2 linked regions of the Ovis aries genome follow. The protein of the gene in region 1 interacts with the protein of each later gene in a pairwise test. Links are inferred from orthologs where the notes say so. Each region holds a gene or a part of one and is shown on either strand. Other genes may lie near its edges.

Region 1 (3,510 bases):
AGTAAAAAAGAATTTTACTTCATTTAGGTTTTTGTGTATTTGTCATCTAATGGATTGCTTCTTGTTTAAGACATATAAAAGGATTTCTCAATCGTTTCGCATATCTCAAAATATTGCCAGCAGCGTTTTGCTGCATGTGAGGGCCTTTCCCTAAGAACTACTCTTTCTTACTCCCGTGCACAGCTGTTGTCACAGGCTCTTATGTATGTACTTACAAGGGTTTAAACTCATATTATTATTTTTTTACTCAAAGAAGTAAGCTGAAAAAAAAAATCAGCGTTAAATCCAAGGATGAGAATTCTAAGTAAAATAAAAATGAAAATAAGAAAGAAAGCAAGAAATATGATAGGCCTGTTCGAGCTGGATGTGGAACATACTGATATAAAACCTCAGGATTCTATTAAGTGACCCCAGTGCTCCAGCTGAGGAGACTGTTGTGCTCTATTTAAAGAGAGGGAAAGCCGACGGGTTTCCCCTGCTTCAGAGCTGTCTGGGCAGACCTGTTTTGTCTGGCGTGAAGAAAGGGAGCTGGTGAGGGTGATGGGGCTGTATCTTGTGATGTCTTATTGAAGGTATTCAGGATTTTCTGCTGGCTCTTCGCCCCCTCTGCTTCCCGCTTCCTCAGTTCTCTTTCAGGTTTGTCTTAACCTTTCTCATTTCAACCACTTCAAGTTCTGTGTTACGAAATCACTTTGATTTAGAGCAAGCTACAAGTGAAATAGAGCGAGCTATAAGTTAAATCTTGAGTGAGAAAGAATTTTAGTTATTGTCAGCTCACTCTACATTTGGACCAGCTGTAGTAATCAAACTGCTTTATTCGAGGCATCTTTCTTTTACATAGTAAGTCTTATTTTAAGTCTTAATTTGACTAAGAGCTACACAGTATCTTTTTCAGAAGGCATTTGTCCCCATTTACCTGGGATTCCTAAAGGTGTACTTTGTGTTGTTGGTGGCGCTCCTTAAAGGTAGTTCTGTGTTTTGCAGAGAGGCGCCCCAGAAGGTAGGCGTGCCAGCTCTGGTGGTGCTGAGGGGACAGCAACATGGTGACAGTCTGGGCATGGGTTTCGTCCGTTTGGTTTTGGATTTGTCAGTAAACTCTAAGCTAGTTGGGTCACAGGGGACGTCCTCATGGTAATAAGACTCAGAAATCAATGATGATAGAATGGTCGTTGCCAAGAGAGAACTGGAATTTTTTGTGCGTTATCTAGATTGTGACAGCTTACCCATGAACCAAGGTCCTGAGAAGATTGAGTTGGTGATCAGAGTTGCATGTGGAGCAAAGGGACTTTGAAAGCCTCGAGGTATATTTCATCCCGGCCGCGGCGGGAAAGATGGGCTCCTTCAGAGTCTCCATACAGTCTTCATCGCCTGTGAAGCCTGGTTGCTTGGTGTACTGTGGGATCAGGGCTGGCACCGACCTACGGTTCAGTTTCTGTTTATTTTTTTATTTTTATTTTTTATTATTATTATTTTATTTTATTTTATCAGTTTCTGTTTAGAATCATGGAGGCCTCTGCTATCACAAAGATTACTTCAGACAGTTGACTGACTTAGAGGATTTAACCTTAGCCCAGCCGGAGGATGTATTCATGCAGTATTGGTGCCAGTGTTTGCCCTATTCTCTGCTCCTGTGGCCATTTTTACTGACTTACAGCACCTAGCAAGTCGTCTTGACCTCTGAATCAACTTGCATATCCTAGGACCCAGGAGCCCGGCACAGTGCCTGGTGGGGAGCACAGTTTTATTTTTTTCAATAACGCTTTATTGACATGTAATTCATGTACTGTAAAATCCACTCTCTTAAAATGTATAGCTCGGTTTTTAGAATATCTAGAGTTGTGCATCACCATTATCTAATCCAAGAACGTTTCCATTGCCCCTCAAGGAAACTTTGCACCTCCTAGCTTTGTGCCGTTCCCCTTCTTCCCTCCCTCCCGGCCCCTGGCGATCGCTTACCTGACGTTTCCGTCTCCATGCACTTGCCCGTTCTGGACGGTTCGGACAAATGGAGTTGTACAGTTTGCGGCCCTTTGTGCCTGGTGTCTTTCACTGAACGTCATGTTTTCAAAGTTCATCCACGACGTAGCTTGCACATACGGTACTCCATTCCTGTATGTGGCTGGATGGCATTCCATTGCTCGGATATCCCACATTTGGTTTATCTGTTCGTTGTCAGCTGATGGGTAAATGAGTTGCTTCCTCTTTTTGGTTCTGTGAATAATGTTGCTGTGAACATATTGTGTATATATATTTGTTTTCATTTCTTTTCTCAATACATTTTGAATGGATGAAGGAAAAGTTTTGGCAGCTCCCAAAGCTGTTACGTAAAGTGACCAAGTCATTCATTTTATAGTGAGTTTTCTTTGGTTCCTGTAAGATTCACTTTCTCTCTGTTCTCGAGCGACCTTTCTGCAGTCCTCCCCCAACTGAATAAATTATTTGTTTTGACTCTTTAATCCAGGATCTAAAATGTCCACTGAGGCACAAAGAGTTGACGACAGTCCAGGCACTAGTGGGGGAAGCTCCGATGGAGACCAGCGTGAAAGCGTCCAACAGGAACCAGAGAGAGAACAAGTTCAGCCCAAGAAAAAGGAAGGGAAGATATCCAGCAAAACAGCTGCTAAGTTGTCCACTAGTGCTAAAAGGTACCTCGGTTATGGTAACTTCCTTGCTTTTAGTATCAATTTATGACCTGAAGTTCTATCTTTCTCTTGCATTTAATCATTTTTCTGGGATATGGACCATGAAGTTCATGGACTTTTTCTTCTTCAAGATTATTTCTTTTTCATGATTTTAATTGTATGCAGTATGAACTTTTTGGTATTTAAAGTCAATTAAACAGCATGGCAAAATTATAAACTACGTATCCGTAGTGTGTGTGTATGTATTGTTAGGTGAATATGAATAGGAAAGTGCATGTAAAGTGTGATAATTTGTTTTATGGTTCCTTAGACCATTACTATTTTAGTTTATTGAGCAGCAGAGAATAAAAGTGGGAGTCTATTGAAATAGTTACTGAATGATTATCTTCACTCACTGTTAGTAAAGTGAGAAATGCAGGAATTAATAACAATAGAATGGGAAAGACCAGAGATCTCTTCAAGAAAATTGGTATCACTTCAAGATACCAAGGGAACATTTCTTGCAAAGATGGGCACAATAAAGGACATAAACAGTATGGACTTAACAGAAGCAGAAGATATTAAGAAGAGGTGGCAAGAATACACAGAAGAGCTGTACAAAAAAGATCTTCAGGACTGAGATAACCACGATGGTGTGATCACTCACCTAGAGCCAGACATCCTGGAGTCCAAAGTCAAGTGGGCCTTAGGAAGCATCACTACGACAAAGCTAGCGGAGGTGATTAAATTCCAGCTGACCTGTTTCAAATCCTAAAAGATGATGCTATAAAAGTGCTGCACTGAATATGCCAGCAAATTTGGAAAACTCAGCAATGGCCATAGGACTGGAAAAGGTCAGTTTTTATTCCAATCCCAAAGGAAGGCAATG
Region 2 (4,198 bases), on another chromosome or scaffold:
AAATATTAACAGCAGCCCCCCCCAACACACACTTCAATGTCAATCCCTCAAGGGATTAATATGCTTCAACTTTCCCTGTAGTCCCTGGTTCAGCAGGTCTTCCTAACCTCTAGCTGGAAAAAGGAAAAAAAAAAAAATTAACGTTTTACAGCTGAAGAGTCTGAATTTTAGAATCCAAATGCAAGCTCATAACTCTGGCATGGAACCTGGTGGCGGAATAAGGAAAAAGAACTTTCTGGTAAAAGAAAAGAAATTTGAGTGGAAAAAGGGAACTCCTACTCTAAGATTACATTCCTGCAACACACAAAATTCTACCTGTGACTTTTGAGAACTGTCTTATAGTGCTTTTCTGTTTAAACTCAGACACTAATGACAGCTTTCTTAAAAACTTAACTACAATCACCTCAAAAATACACCTGACCCTTTCTGGACCAAATTTTATAAGGAAGATTACTAAGTTTAAGATGTCTAAAGCTGATCAAATGATGTCTGAAAGTGCCAGAGGTAATCACACCCTACATCTCTTCAGGGCAGTGTCCAAATTATATCTAGAAGTCTGTTCAGGGATTAAAATTCCATCCTAGCAATTAAAAGCCACTTTCAAGGATTACCCTAAATTAGTCACTATTCCTCCCGAAAACTCATTTCACAATCGGTTTAAAGAACTGAAAAAAAAATTAACATTATTTCCAGAAATAGAGATCCAAAGTGTCTCCCCTATTTCACAAGAGCAAGCAGTGATCCAACAGATAAATCCTCCATAGAGCAATCTTTCTTCTACACAGTATCTAAATTTTCTGAAGTCGCCCAAAGGAGTCTGAATATGTTAACTTCTTTACTCCAACTCGCCAATTAGTAAATAGCAGCCCCACACCCCTTCTGACCAATTTTCTGGAGGCCTAACCTGGTTTCTCAGGTTAGCTAAGCAGACAGACCTGTTTTCCTCCAGAAGCTCCTGCCAGTGTCTTTTCTGCCCTGCCAGAGTCTAGGAAATCCTCCTCCAGCTTTTTGCTGACCTGTCACCAGAAGTTCACAAAATGAATTCATCCAGGTCCTTTGACTCCTCCTTTCCCCCCGACATGTGCCAACAGCAGTGCAAGAGAACTGCCATGTCTTGGTCACAAGAAGATGCAGAATACCCAAGCACTTCAGCATGGAGGAGAAGAAGAAAGATGGAGGGATCCAAGAGACACTGAGCCAAGGCTGCTACTGCATGCAGCACGGGTAACCAGGGCCCCAGTCACGCAAAGCCTCCCAGGGAGGCTCCCTGGCTGCGCCCTCCGACCAGCAGGCCACACCTGTCTATGGCAGCAGCCTGTCGGCCGCTCCATTTTAAACAATTCAGATTTCCAGCACAGCCGCAAAACTGGGCACCCACTTCTCCAGCAAGAGCAAGTGCCCTCATCCAAACCCCACTTGGCCCCAATCTTCTCTTCACATCCTTTGTCTGAGATGCTCGGTCCAATTGGATCCCTTCTGTGTTACCGGTGCACCCAGCACAATGCAGCAGTAACAGAAAGGAAGCACGGAGGCCGACTTGCGACCAGCCAGACTTCTCTGAGGACGGGGAGGCCAATGAATGAGACTTCAACAGGCATCCACAAGTGAACCAACGCCTGAAGTCCTCACACACCTGGCTCTCCTCGGCCTCTCAGAAAGCCTCATTTCTAGAGAGTGGGTATTCCATTCATCCCTTGGCTTCGGGAACCAAGAGGACGACAGCCAGATCCAGGTACCGCACTTTTACCTCCAGACCTTTTGCGTGCACGCGTGCGAAGGTGCGGGGCACCTCGGCGCGCCCTCCCTGGCACCCCACCCTCCGAGGCCTCTGGCGCCCGCGGACTCACCACTGTGCGAGCTGAACCACCGGGGTGCGATGTGCAGAGGTAGAGCATCCGCTAGCGAGGCTCGGGAGCCCAGGTACAGCATCCCGTCTCTATGGTGACCGCCACCCGTCTCCTGGTAACCATTGCCGTGGGCATAGGTGGAGTCGGACGTCGACCCTCCGCTGCCGGGCGCCCTCTCGGCGTCGCCGGTCCCTCGGGAGGCGGGGGTGTAGAGGCCAAAGGGCACCCCGCTGGCCGTGCTGGGGTCCATGCCCATGCCCGCCACGGAGCTGACCGAGCGGCTGCGGAGCCCCATGGCCCCGCCGCCCGCCCGGTAGTGCCCGAAGTGGGGCGCCCCTCCCGGCGGGGGCACGGCGCTGTCGTCGGTGGAGACCCCCGGGAAGGGGCCGCGCGAGCGGGCCGCTGTGCTCTGCTTGCCGCCCATGCTCGCCCGGGCCCCGGCGGGGCGGGAGCCTGCAGGCCGAGACCCTCCCCCTGTCCTCAGCGGCGGGGGCAGGGCTGGGCGGGCATACGGGGGAGCAAAAAGGAGACCGGAGGGGAAGGGAAAAAGGAAAAAGAGAGGACCCGAGCAGGACCCAGACTACGGGCTGCAGGCGTCCCGAGCCCGGCGCATGATTCCCCTCAAGGTCCGGAGAGGCGAGGCGCGCGGGCTCGGCGCGCCCCAGGCCGCCCCCGGGCTCCCGAGGGCCGGGCGCCGCGGGGAGGAGGCCGCCCGCCCGGCAGCGGCCGCCGGAGGAGGAGGGCGGGGGCGCCGGCGCGTGCCGCCTCAAGACGCCGCGGCCGGGACGGCGGCCCGGACCCCCGAGGCCCGGGCGGGCTGCGGCGCCGGCGGCCCGCGGAGCTCGCGAAGCCGCGCTCGCGTCGCGCTCTCGGCCCTGCCGCGCGGGCCCCGCCGGCCGCGCCGCTCGCTCCCGGGCTGCGCTCGCCGGCGCTCCTCGCCGCCGCGGAGACAATGGAGGGCGGCAGCGCGCAGGCGCGGCGGCGCCCCCGCCCCCGCCCCCCGCGTTAACCCCTTCGCGGCCCGCGCGGCGCCGGGCGGGGACTCGGGGCGTGGACGCCTCGCCCGCCCCGCCCGGCCCGGCCCTGCCCTGTCCGATGGCCCCGGGGCAGGCGTGGTCCGAGCCGCTGGAGCTCAGGACCAGAGGCGACGCGGCACCTTTAAGCCCCCAAGAGCAGCTGGTCATTCAGGGGGAATCCCCCCGTGGGCGGAGGGGCGGCGGTGGTCCAAAGGGTGGGAAAGAAACCCGGGGAAGAAGAAAAAGGACTCCAGACGCCTACCTAGCCCCGAGGGTCACTGGTCAAGCTCCCTTCCCGGCACGAATTTGCCCCCGCAGCACCCTCTGGTGGACTTGCTGTCCGTTCTATCTGAGGTTCAATGTCCTGGAATCCCCAACACCAGGAAGTTTAGCGTTTTGGGGCTCGATAGTTTTTCCGGGATTAAACAGGGCTGGGGGGTGTGTAGGGGGGGTGTTGCTTGTGATTTCAGATTTTGCTGCCAATAGATCAGAACTTCCTATTTTGGACTTAAGCAAATGGGTAGATCCTTAAGATAAAATGCGACTCTGAAAATCATCAGGTGTACGATTAAAAAAAAATAACAGACGTGGAAATCTAATAATGCAGCTAGAACTAGTGATTTTAGAAACTCCCTGGTTCAAGGAAGGACTCCTGTTTTGTTTACCGTTTATCCAGGTATGCATCGCAGGGCCTGGGACACAGCAGGTACCCAATATTTGCTCACCGAGTCTGCGTTTTGCAATGTCTCCCTCACATATTCACATTCACTCACTCATTCCATTCTTTCGTTCATTCATTTGTTCAACAGCTATTTTTTTAAGTGCTGAGTGCTGCCTAGGACTGTCTGTCACTCAGTCCCTGGTCTAACTGACTTCCTTGTTCTAAATGTCAGATACTTCCAAATCAAGGAGCCAAAACAGGGTGCAAAGAAATATTAAAACTGAAAAAAGAAAGGTTGATCTGTCATAGGTATTGATTGTCTCAGTGTGACCAGCTTGGAAGGAATAGGCGGCCTTTGCAAGCAGCAAAAAGCCCTGCAGAAGGAAGTTGAGATTTCTGTATGAGAAATGATGAAGGAAAAAACAATGTTTTAATACCCAAAACATTATCTGTAAGTTTCCAAATGGGGAATTTGTATACAGCTAAGATCCAAATGAGTGATTTGAAGAAAAACAAGAAAGGTTAAATTTAACCCAGTTTCCTCCCTGAAGAAAGAAGACAGGTAGTTCAGTACTGTGCAGAAAAGAGGATACCCTCCCCAGATCTCTACTGAGGAGATAAATATATAATCCATAAGAATTATAACCATCTAACTAGCTTTTGATTTACCTATT

What was found.
Region 2: the proteins of UBE2E2 (region 1) and ZNRF1 interact in a two-hybrid assay, tested with the Homo sapiens proteins (2 studies listed by BioGRID and IntAct). The link is inferred for Ovis aries from reciprocal best matches to the Homo sapiens genes UBE2E2 and ZNRF1.

The regions. Positions count from the first base shown.
Region 1 is NC_056079.1:42,012,418-42,015,927, reverse strand, and holds part of UBE2E2 (ubiquitin-conjugating enzyme E2 E2), read left to right. Parts: intron 1-2,461; 5' UTR 2,462-2,469; coding exon 2,470-2,645; intron 2,646-3,510.
Region 2 is NC_056067.1:1,851,127-1,855,324, reverse strand, and holds the start of ZNRF1 (E3 ubiquitin-protein ligase ZNRF1), read right to left. Parts: upstream 2,802-4,198; 5' UTR 2,272-2,801; coding exon 1,848-2,271; intron 1-1,847. UniProt on the Homo sapiens protein: E3 ubiquitin-protein ligase that plays a role in different processes including cell differentiation, receptor recycling or regulation of inflammation. Mediates the ubiquitination of AKT1 and GLUL, thereby playing a role in neuron cells differentiation.